Linked DNA regions of Nothobranchius furzeri. The protein of the gene in region 1 interacts with the protein of each later gene in a biochemical or structural test. Links are inferred from orthologs where the notes say so. Each region holds a gene or a part of one and is shown in the gene's direction. Other genes may lie near its edges.

Region 1 (3,651 bases):
GACAACTAGTGGGACTTTAACTTAAACTAAAATTTGATTTTTCTCACAAAATCCTATCTTTGCATAAATCTTAGGACACTTACTTAGTTTTGATGATTAAAGCATAACATTCAAGCAACAGCTTCCCCAACTTGTGTTACCATTAAAGACACAAACATTCGTCTGGGTCTATGATGACTAAATTCAGCATCTTTTAGAGGTTCAGGATAAATTGACTTGACAGATTGCCTTTTTTTTTCTCTCAGATTGAGACATCAGGTCAGATTTCAGTGCTGCGTCTGTCCAACCTGTCATCACTGGATCACAACCGCAAGATCAGCTGCACAGCTGGAAACATCGTTGGAGAGAGGGAGTCCTCTCTGCTGCTGGACATACTTTGTATGTTTTTACTCTGTTAAACAGCTTTAACTTAAAGTAGTTTAATGTGTCCGTTATATTTTTCCCACCACTTAAACATTTTTACAAGCTGCAATAATTCCACTTTTGGTCTGATCATGTTTTTTCTGCTTTAATTAAACACATTTTTTCCTAAAAACCTACTTTTTGCTTCATGCATTCAGTTCCACCAAAAATCACAAAACTGAGTGATGCAATCCCCGACCATCACTGGTGCATCCCCTTCAGCGTGGCAGGTATGAAAGGCACACTTTCTCATTTGTTGATGTTTTAATATTCATTCACATATGATTTAGTTGGTAAAATGTGAAAAATTTAAAATAATTGAATGCAATGAATGCACAGAGTGACAACTGCTGCTGAGATATAATGCAAATCAAGTTAACATCACTGGCCAGATTCACTAACAAAGCACAGCACTCATTACTTTTTGCACAATTTGCACCCAAAATGTACCTTTTCGTAGCATCAGAATCACGGAGCAAGCAGTAATTAGTTCCAAGTTTAAATGAACGAAGAACAAAGGCAGATTAAAATCATGACATTTTCCAGAGTCCAATCATCTTTATTTCTAGAGCAGTTAAAAAAACGTTCACAGAATGACCATGCACATTGTACATTGATGAAATCTCTGTAAAACTTCTATAGAGCTTTAAAACTAACTAGTTTATCAATTGCAAAGAAGTATTTAAGACAATTAAACAAACACGCTGTAAAACTTTTTAATACAAAAGAATAAAAGATCTGTCTAAGAACTAGGGATGCACCGATACCGATACTGGTATCGGTATCTGTGCCGATGCCAATACCAATGCCAGTATCGGTATCGGTAAAAGTTAACCGATACCAGGAACCGATACCAATGCAGTTGCTTGAAAATGGCTTCACTGTAACTTGTCATTTCTGTTCACCTAATATTTTAGTTTTGTGATGATTTCCATTCATATATTTTACTTTTAATCTACCTCACAGTCTTTTCCTGTTGAAAGCAGAGAAGAAAATAAAATCATTGCATTTTTTTGTGTGGTGGAAGTATTGGTATCGGTAATTGGCATCGGCGAGTACTCAGATTCAAGTATCGGTATTGTATCGGTTTGGAAAAAAGAGGTATCGGTGCATCCCTACTAAGAACAATGACAGGTCGGCACACAGTACCTGGGAAAGATAACAAAAAAATATGTTTTCTATCTTTTCATTTATTTACATATTTTTTTAAAGAGCGTGAGTGTTGTGGCTTATCTAACGATATGGAGTTTCATAACTTCTGCCAGTGCTCCAAAGTCCCCCCCACTCCCCCCCCCCCCCCACCCCCACCCCCCGGTCCGACAATCCAGCAGCAACACCTCCCCACCCCCCTGGCCACCCAGGCCTCATCGCCCCCTGTGGCCAGAATATTTCACTCGCAGCTTCCGGCTGGCAGGCTATTCAGTTGGGACAGAAAAAAAATTGAGCTGACATACCTGGAGCTGCAGTCTGCTTCCAGCATGTTTTAAATCATGAACACAGCTGACTTGTTTAATTTAGTGATGACTCATCCCTCACTAAGGAAAGCTGGGGAGACATTTCAGCTGTTAGATAAAGGTGTTAAAAGACGAACGCACATCGATGTGATAGGTTTAGGTTTTTTTGTTCTTCAAACAGACACTAGGGGGTGCTAAAAGCAAGCCAACACTGCCTATTTCCCCTTTAAAAGTATGCTCAACATCTAATTTCAATGTGATGAAACTGCACCAGTGCCGAGATGGAAATACAAATTAGGCATTCATTTATTCTTTCACATTGTTTCCCAGCAAACCCCCAACCGTACTTTCAGTGGTATCGAGATGATGAAAAGGTAACGGAGGGTGACTACATCATGACCATGATCCACGACGTCACAGAGAGAGAATACCACGGCTGTCTGCAGCTGGACAGCCCAACACACATCAACAACGGACAGTACACGCTGGTGGTTACAAACGAATATGGGTCAGACCAAAAGATGGTTTCAGCTCACTTCATGCTGCAGCCCTGGGGAGGTGAGGATTTGGGATATTCCATTCTCTGTTGTCACAATAACGTGACTGAGCTCCTGTCATTTACGCAAATGCAGCTGCCTTCTGAAGAGAAAATGCTTCAACTCAGAGCAGAAAGTTAATCTGTTAGAAAACTAGCTACTGCTCCTGCAGAATGATGGACACCGGAAAGTAATCGGATTTGTTCCCTTTTTGTAGATACTGACACTCCTATCTATTATGGTGAGTGAAATGTTTTCTTTTTATCAAATGTTAAACAGCTAAAGGCTCACATTTCCCACAGTACCACAGTGTCAGTTTTTATGTTGAACAGGAATTGATCAGCATCACGTTTTAGAAATGTTTTTTTTCTCTCTCTTTTTTCTCTGGAGGTGGTGATGGTGCGTTCCAGTCCTACACAACTTTGCAACTTTTTGTTTCATTTGTTTATTGCAATACGTTTCCAATGTTGTGATTTTCTTTCAGCTCTTGTGCATGTTGTGTTCTTAGTTGGTTTGTGTGACACCATCTTGTAATGTTTTTGGTGTGTGTGTGTGTGTTTTAAACTAGCTCAGAGAACAGGCATGGTTTACGGGGTAAATGTCAAGTAGCGCATGTAAAACGTTTACAAATGAAAGAGGTTATCATGTTTGTTTTTGAAATCTAATTTGTCTTTCTGTCTCTTTCTCCAACGCGTCTTCCAACAGAAATACCAACAGGTACAGCTAAATATTTTATTCACTCAGTCCTAAAACCAGCCTGACTTAATTGACTAATCACCACCGATTTAGTTAACTTTTGCTACATTTCCCAACGTGAAATAAAAGTATAGTGGAACAAAAATATGTTTAAGCAAATATCACATGAGAGGGCGTGCATTGTTGCTGAATATCAGCACTGGTGTGATTCAGTCGTAGGCATGAGGCCGCAGGCTGTGTGCCGTAGATAAACAGCAACAACGCATGACCTCGAGTGTGATATTGCTTTTATACTACAGTTCTACCTGCTCATTTTATTTTTATAAAAACAATAAGCAACAACAGATTATGTTTTGTTCATTTATTTAACCATTTATCAGGGTCCACCAACACAAATAGTTCCAACACGAAACAGAGACTCAGACAAGGCTGTTGCTAGGCAACACAAACATTTTCTACAAAGCTCTGTAATAACGGTTAGAACTCCTGTGCACAGTGGAGTGATACTGTTTGTAAACAGTCCCAGTGCTGTTATAGTCCAATATCAGCACTCTTGGAAAGTC
Region 2 (4,210 bases), on another chromosome or scaffold:
TTAACACTCAAACCATTTTGTCTTTATTGTCAAATCCACATAAAACATTCCCTCTCTTGGATGAGCAAACCAAGCATTTGTCACATGCGTGGATGCGGGGCGCGGATTCTCCGCCGGTCCCTCGGCGATGAAATGATTCACTGGTTTTATCGCGTTTTAACAGGATGTTGATTGAGAGCATGAGCCACATTGATTGTCCTGATGGAAACAGGAAATAACAAAGATAGAAATAAAATCATCTGTTGTTCCCGGTGTGAGGGTACCCGGGGGAGCAGCAGGCAATTGCGCACCGTTGAGTGGCATTACCCCCGGCAACCTCCTCCCCTCCATCCTCTCTCTCCCCTTTGGAGACCTGGAAGAGACGTCATCTGTGGTTGTTATGCTGCGAAATGACGCCGGCGCTCTCCCCACCCCCTGCTACTGCAACATTACCCCTGTGGTCTGTTACGGAAGATGCAGCACTCCTCGTCTGCACCATTTCCAGCATGAAGTTTGACGCCTAACAGTAATCAGCCCTCTGCCGTCACTTCCCTCATGTGGAAGTGGAACCAATTGGTGCAGATAATAATATCAGCCTAAATGCATCCTACACATAAAGCTCGTGACTGGCCTCCGTCCCGTAAACCGACATGGATGTCTGTGCTGGGAAGGATGACTGAAGAACCAACACCTCATCTGAGGGATGAGAGGGATTCACCGAACATCTTCAAGGATCATTTAGATAATGAGCTCTTCATTGGCCTTTGCCCTTATAGTTGTTTTAGTTGGTGAGAGGAAAAATACCCTCCGTCCCTTCTCATAGAAACACACACACACACACACACACACAAGCCCCTCCCCATGCCCTCCCTCTAACACACGCACTCACACACTCTGGAATAGCGCGTCACTGAGCTCAGGGAGTGAGTGGCTCATTAAGAAGAAGGATGTGATATTCTGAATTGAGACTGTGAGACTCCCAGCACGTCTATTTTTAGCTGAGATCTCTCTACGGCGCTCACCGTGGAGTCGGTTAATTGCAGCCCCAGCCCCAGATACCAATTAAGAGTGAAACAAATGCTTTTAAGGTGCGGTTTCGCTCCTCCCTGCTGGAGAAGGTCCTCGTGCCCATCCTTAGTGGAGACAGGAGCGTGTTGGCTCGGCGTTTTTTCCTGAATCAGGTTCGGGACATGCGGATTGCAGTCAAAGCCTCAGCCGGGCTATTTTTAAATAAGCCCCCGTGGAAAGCAAGATCTAGATTTTTTTCTCTAGGGTTGCTTTTATGTCTCTGGCTGTTGGATGTCCACCAGTTCAATGATTTGTGAATCTTAGAGCTCCTCGGAGGTAAGGGATGCAAATGTGCCCAGGCGATGCAACGATGAGGACGTATGTTCAGCCTTTTAGCAACACCTGGCTCCCTGCAGCTTTTCTCTTTAACCCTGGCAGCACTCTGCTCGTTTCCTGAGCTGCCCTCCTCAGCCGTGTGGGCTTGACACGGTGCAGGAAAAGGATGAAGCATCCATTTTTGTCATACAGCTTCCTCGTGACATCCTGTTAATTTATCTGGCTCTGCACTTGCCGGTCACCTGCCAAAAGCAAACAGCTTCTCTTAACAAACAGACCCCCAGGTCTCCATTCATGATCACGAGGTCCAGAGAGAGGACCGGTCCTGCAGCACGGACCAGTTTGTTGGTCATATAACCAACACTGCAGCGCTGCTGTTTACCAGCATCACTGGAAACGCAATATTTACCACTCAGAAGTCACTTTGACAGCTTTCTGAGGGGAATGAACTCTTTGGTTTTCCAGTTCACTGTTGGTCCGTTTTATTGTTATCTGACTTTTTTTGAAAAAAAGGACAAAAATCTAAACTTTCTGTTGGAGCTTCAACATGAAACTGTGATACGAGTGACTACTGCAATAATGGTATCAGTTACAAATCAATCATTTCCTGACTTTTCCCAGTGCCTTCTGTTTTCCCAACCCTCTGCACGTGCTGCAGCACTTTGTCCAACATGGTCTGAATCATCTGTGGGCATGTAGGGAGACCGTGAGATTGACTCTGCGATGACAACGAACTGTCAGCGCAGCCCTGATTCCTGGGGCTTTTAAAACCAGATGCAGCCAGCAACGCAGAGCAGGACGAATGATGGGTTTGGCCATTAAAAAAACTGCACGTGTCTGCACACACTGTCAACACACCAGTTCATGAATAATCGCACGCCTGTGAGGACGTTTCAGCGTCCATGTGTGTAATCTCATCTTTAGGAATAAGCAGTCTCGCTGATGCCCAGCACAGCTTTTGTGTTTTGCTGCCAACAAATAGAAATCTAAGCCAGACCTGACATGGATCACAGTTTGCAAACAATTTGAAAACACTGATGGCGACACGGTGCCAACATCAGTTTGACAAAAACATGCTGTGGTTATTCAGAAGCTCTCGTTTTATTTGGTGTGCAAACAAAGAGCGGTGGGCGTAAAAAGTGAAAAAGGCGAGGAGGAGCGGAGGCTTGCGTGATGCATTGTGGGTTAAGGATGAGCCAACTTGTTTAAAATGCCCGTTGACTAACCGTCTTCTTCTTTCTCTTCCTTCTTTTCTCTCCATCTCCCCCCTCCAGTTCCACCAGGTTAGAAGAGTGATGACCATCCTGTTCCTTACTATGGTTATTTCATACTTCAGTTGCATGAGAGCTGCGCCCCTGAGAGACGCCCCGGGCATTCGGGGCCATCGGACGGAAGGCTACTTGGGCGCTGCTGCGACGACCGCTCGAGGCCACGGGACTCTGCAGAGTGGCGGCGGGCCGGGCCAGCACGGCGAGCTGCCCTCGCTCACAGACACGTTCGAGCAGGTGATCGAGGAGCTGCTGGAGGTGGAGGGAGAGGCCGCACAGCTGGGACAGGGGTCTGACAAGAGCCAGGGAGGCGGGGGCCCGTTGCCCGTGGTCACCACAGAGAACAAGGATGTCGACCTGTACAACTCGCGGGTGATGATCAGCAACCAAGTGCCTTTGGAGCCGCCGTTGCTCTTTCTTCTGGAGGAATACAAAAACTATCTGGATGCTGCAAACATGTCCATGAGGGTGAGGCGACACTCCGACCCCTCACGGCGTGGAGAGCTGAGTGTGTGTGACAGTATTAGCCAGTGGGTGACAGCTGTGGATAAAAAGACGGCAATAGACATGTCCGGGCAGACAGTTACCGTCATGGAAAAGGTCCCTGTCCCCAATGGCCAGCTGAAGCAATACTTTTATGAGACCAAATGCAACCCCATGGGGTACACAAAGGACGGCTGCAGAGGAATAGACAAGCGGCATTATAACTCCCAATGCAGGACAACCCAGTCCTACGTGCGAGCGCTCACCATGGATAGCAAAAAGAAGATTGGCTGGCGGTTTATAAGGATAGACACTTCATGTGTATGCACATTGACCATTAAAAGAGGGAGATAGTGTATAAAATGTATAGATTTTATTGAAGAGTTTAAAAAAGAGAATAAAGAGAAAATATCTATTTGTATATATACATAACAGGGTAAATTATTCCGTCAAATGAAAAATTTTATGGACTGCATGTAAAAAAAGATGAAGTTTCTACAGTAAAGTGATATTACAGTCTATTTATTGAACATATTCATGACCTTGTAAACAATTAAAAAAATCTGATCAGTCATTTGCGCCCAGTTTAAATTACTATGACACATAAATCAAGACATTGTGATTTGTTTACGTTGCCAAGAATTACAAAAAAAAATGAAGGAAAAAAATAAAGGAAACAGGCAAAGGAACGAGAGGACAGTTCCATCTTCAAAGGCTTGCATGCTGCTTCAATTGTGAATTGAGAAATTCTCAACTTCCCCCAAAAAAATAAAGGAAAAAGGAAAATATGCTGACCAAAAAAAAAAGAAGAAAAAACAACAACATTCCGTTTACATATTCAACAGAAGACGTCTCCTCTCGAGTAATTTATCTGTTTACTGTTCTAAACTTCTCAAGGTCATGTTGGAAATACATACTATGTCAAGGTGCTGTTGTCAAAGCTTTGCTGTTTATTTTTTTATCCCCACCAGAGAATAAGATATATTTAAAGAGCTTATATATATATATATATAGTCATTGACATGTTTCTGGGTTAATATTATTCATTTTGTATGTTGTGAAGTTGTTTGCAATATTAAACTGAAATATTTGAAGAAATAAAAATGACTATAGGCAACTGAAAAACCTAAATCCAT
Region 3 (3,831 bases), on another chromosome or scaffold:
CACGAGACGCGTGAGATTTTACATTTTCACTACACCACCTGGCCTGATTTCGGGGTACCAGAGTCTCCCGCCTCCTTCCTCAACTTTCTGTTCAAGGTGCGAGAGTCAGGCTGTCTGAACTCAGAGCATGGACCTGTGGTGGTCCACTGCAGCGCTGGTATCGGACGCTCTGGGACCTTCTGCCTTGTGGACACTTGCCTCTTGTTGGTTTGTATAATTTGTATAAACTCCAGCATGCAGTGAGACAATCACAAACAAAGCAGTCGCCTATCTGAGGAGAATCACTCTGACTGCTGTCTTTGTGTTCAGATGTCTCTTCGTAAGGACCCGTCATCGGTGCGTATTCGCGATGTGCTGCTGAAGATGCGGCAGTATCGAATGGGTTTGATCCAAACTGCGGATCAGCTTCGCTTCTCTTACCTGGCTGTCATCGAAGGTGCCAAGTACATCAAAGGAGATAAATCTCTCCAGGCAGGTTCTTCCTCTCCTCTTCGGAGCTTTTTATGACTGTGCATTCTGCTGAAGTCCTTTTAGTAAACAAGCTTTCTGCTTCTGAAGGAATCGTGGAAAGAGCTCTCTAACGAGGAAGATGATCCTCCGGAGTCCCCTCCCCCTCCCCCTCCTCCTCCGAGAGACCCTCACAATGGCAAAGTGCAGCCACCTTTTTTCCCTGATAAAGAAGAGGTCATCCTGAGGTGAGCATCCCAATCATCTGCGGGCTTATCTGAGCATTGGGGTGGGGGTGGTTCCTAATAGAGCTGCTCCGTGCTTCGATTGATAGTCAGCATCACAACGTAGGTATGTGATGTGATGGGGGGGCCTTCATCTGTTGGATCAGGTGAGATGTTGATCAAACGTTTGAAGCTACTATGAGGATGAAACGCATCAGGGGTCTATTATGTTGGACTGTAGACGTGACACTTGTTGTGGACTAACTAATATATTGGAGTCATTAATTTGACTCTTGGGGACGTAAAATCTTTTTATTCAAGATGGCTGTGTTCCGTCTGTGATGGGACGCTTCAGACGTTGAGCTGGACATTATTTAGCATTTCAAATCAAATCACTTTTATTGTCACGTCACACGTGCAGGTACACTGGTACAGTACATGCGAGTGAAATTCTTGTGTGCGAGTTTCACAGCAACAGTTGCAAAATACACATATTCTGTGTTATATAGCTAAAAGCGTTTATTGTGTCTACAGTTCTGATGGTATCATGCTGACAAAACAAACTCCGATTTGACAAGGAAGGATGTAATTTACCTCCCGTGGAACGTAAAAGGCTGACTGGTTATTCATCCAAAAAAGGGCAGGAGTGCAGCACGACTGAAAGTGCTATTTAAGTGATCTGTTGAAGGTTTCACTACTTTTCATTATCGCAAGAGTTGGAAAAGAATCACAATGTGATATTTTTTATTTATTTATTTTTGCCTATATGGTTCAACGCAAGCCTCTCCTCTCCTCTCCGGTTAGAAAAGAACATTTTTCCCACCATACTGAAACAGAAACGTGACTTTTAGCACAACATTTTTCTAAAAAAAAAAGTGTATTTATATAGCGCCAAATCACAACAACAATCGTCTCAAGGCACTTCACAAGGTAAAATTGGGTTCAGTTCATAATGGCAATTAGGCTTGGGTGTTATCCAAATTTCAATATCGTTAAGCTTCCTCTACGTGTTACCACAGTGTACGGTATTTCCATGAGTAATTAAAAATTATGACCTAAAACTCAAGTGGCATTAACAAAGTGTTGGCTTGGACTGTAACAGTTCAGAAACTGAATCTCAACACTATTGCCACCAAAAAAAACAAACATATTAAGCATAATGTTAACATTTTAATTAAAAAAATGCTGCTCATTATAATATTTTTCGCCAGAAAAACCTGCACGTTTACTTTTCCAGATTCAACATTGCACCTTCTGTACCAACAACTTTGCCTGGGGTGCTGAAAACCTGCTCCGATGGTGCGCTTGTGGCACAGACACAGGCTTTTGGGCCAGTCACAACTTCTGGGGAAGAAACTAGCAGCATATTTCTACCAGAAAAGTGAATAATAGGCTCCAAACCGGCTGTTATTTTAGCTCTCTAGAGTTCATCTGCGGTGCTGACGGGACCTGCATCTCTTGCTGTCACCTCTTTATTGCACGAGGAACACTCTTTGACAGGGAAACGTGGATTGACGGAACACCGGCTCTCCTTTATCGTTTGCTTGGAATCCAAAATACTTCCAACAGCAGAAGTTGTGTTTATTTTTGACACCGAGTCAGTAGGTGCACGACCTGCCATCTCTCTCCCTGTCTCTCTTAAGGTGCGTCTCTCTCTCTCTCCTCCGCGCTGTCACATGATGACGTCATGTTCATAAACTTTACGGAATGTCTCCAAAAGTCGACTATAACATATTAAACAATTTAACTAAAAATGAAAATTCAACAACACGTCAGTTTTACACATCAAATATTTTTTTTATATTTAGTCCTTATCTCCTAAATGCACTACATTTTGTTCATGACGTATTAACACTGATAGTGTTGCTCTTTTTAAACACCAGCTGTATACAGTAATACCATAGTACCACCAAAGTCTAATGCCGTTTAAAGTTTCCTATATAAGGGAACCCAGCGGATTGCATCGTCACTGACTTTACAACAATCCTCATGCTAAGCAAGCATGTAGCGACGGTGGAGAGGAAAACTCCCTGTAACAGGAAGAAACCTCAACAGAACCTGGCTCAGGATGAGCAGCCATCCACCGCAACTCACTAGCTTACACATCCATATCAATGTTTGCTTTAAACTTTATTCTTTGTGTAAAACGACTTGATGGATGCATCCATTAAACTCCAAACCTAACTGGGAGACATCCATCTGTCTTTTTCCTCATTCAGGGAAGACCTGCGACAGAGGATCTTAACCGCTGCAAGGCCTCCTTCTGATAGGGCTGGTCAGCCGGACCGGCATGTGGGAATACCTCATTCCACAGCTCCCAACACATCCCAGCAGGAGGAGGATGAGCCGAAGGCAGCGGAGCAGCCAAAGGAAAGCTCTCCTGTGCCGGGGACCTGGTCCCCTTTCCTAGTCAACGTGTGTCTCTGCACAGCGGTGACCCTCAGTGCTTACATTTTTTATCGAGCCTATTTCCACTGATGTCTCTTTCCTCTTCCTGATTGTTTTTGTTCTGTGTCACAAAGTGGACTTGGCTGCCTCACCAGCCTGCTCTGACTCTGTCAGTGAGCTTTTGTTCTATTCAGGTTGACCTGTTGTTATTTTTATAGCTGCAGCAGGAGGAGCTGCCACTAATTACCCAAACGTCGTTTCTGTACGCCATCACAGACGCTCAGGACCTCAGTTCTTCAGGTGCCACAACCCAAACGTGCGTGTGTGTCTATGTGTGTGTCTGTCAAGTACATCAGACTGCGGCTGTTGGGAGGGGTTGTCTCCAAGCTGCTGGTCTGGGAACCAGGATGAGAACCCTGTCTGCCCGTTTTATATGCATCTTATTTACCAAAATGACAATTTTGAATGTGACTTTCTGTTTTCTTTTTCATTAAGATTTAACTTTTTGTTTTATTTTTTAGCCCACTTGCTAACACAGATGGGTCTGAAATGTTCAGTCCTGATTTTTGACAAGCCAGTCAGAAAACACGCCAGTAGGGGGGGGGGGGGTTAAAGCGGAGTGTGTATAGAAATAAAAAAGTGAATTCATGCTCACTGATTGCATGCAGATGTGGGCTTGGAACTGTGATCTGTCCACACTAGTCGCCTCTGATTGGCCGGTTGAGTGTGTCTTCTGTGTATCTGTACATTTGTGTATCTGTGCGCGCGCCTG

What was found. The genes of interacting proteins can lie anywhere in the genome.
Region 2: the proteins of ntrk2a (region 1) and bdnf form a complex in vitro, tested with the Homo sapiens proteins (3 studies listed by BioGRID). The link is inferred for Nothobranchius furzeri from reciprocal best matches to the Homo sapiens genes NTRK2 and BDNF.
Region 3: the proteins of ntrk2a (region 1) and ptpn1 form a complex in vitro, tested with the Homo sapiens proteins (2 studies listed by BioGRID, with this or other methods). The link is inferred for Nothobranchius furzeri from reciprocal best matches to the Homo sapiens genes NTRK2 and PTPN1.

The regions. Positions count from the first base shown.
Region 1 is NC_091757.1:48,543,258-48,546,908, reverse strand, and holds part of ntrk2a (BDNF/NT-3 growth factors receptor), read left to right. Parts: intron 1-245; coding exon 246-378; intron 379-560; coding exon 561-632; intron 633-2,186; coding exon 2,187-2,414; intron 2,415-2,609; coding exon 2,610-2,633; intron 2,634-3,097; coding exon 3,098-3,109; intron 3,110-3,651. UniProt on the Homo sapiens protein: Receptor tyrosine kinase involved in the development and the maturation of the central and the peripheral nervous systems through regulation of neuron survival, proliferation, migration, differentiation, and synapse formation and plasticity.
Region 2 is NC_091749.1:64,456,856-64,461,065, forward strand, and holds the end of bdnf (brain-derived neurotrophic factor), read left to right. Parts: intron 1-2,597; coding exon 2,598-3,428; 3' UTR 3,429-3,648; downstream 3,649-4,210. UniProt on the Homo sapiens protein: Important signaling molecule that activates signaling cascades downstream of NTRK2. During development, promotes the survival and differentiation of selected neuronal populations of the peripheral and central nervous systems.
Region 3 is NC_091755.1:52,053,159-52,056,989, forward strand, and holds the end of ptpn1 (tyrosine-protein phosphatase non-receptor type 1), read left to right. Parts: coding exon 1-207; intron 208-309; coding exon 310-471; intron 472-558; coding exon 559-695; intron 696-2,890; coding exon 2,891-3,149; 3' UTR 3,150-3,269; downstream 3,270-3,831. UniProt on the Homo sapiens protein: Tyrosine-protein phosphatase which acts as a regulator of endoplasmic reticulum unfolded protein response. Mediates dephosphorylation of EIF2AK3/PERK; inactivating the protein kinase activity of EIF2AK3/PERK.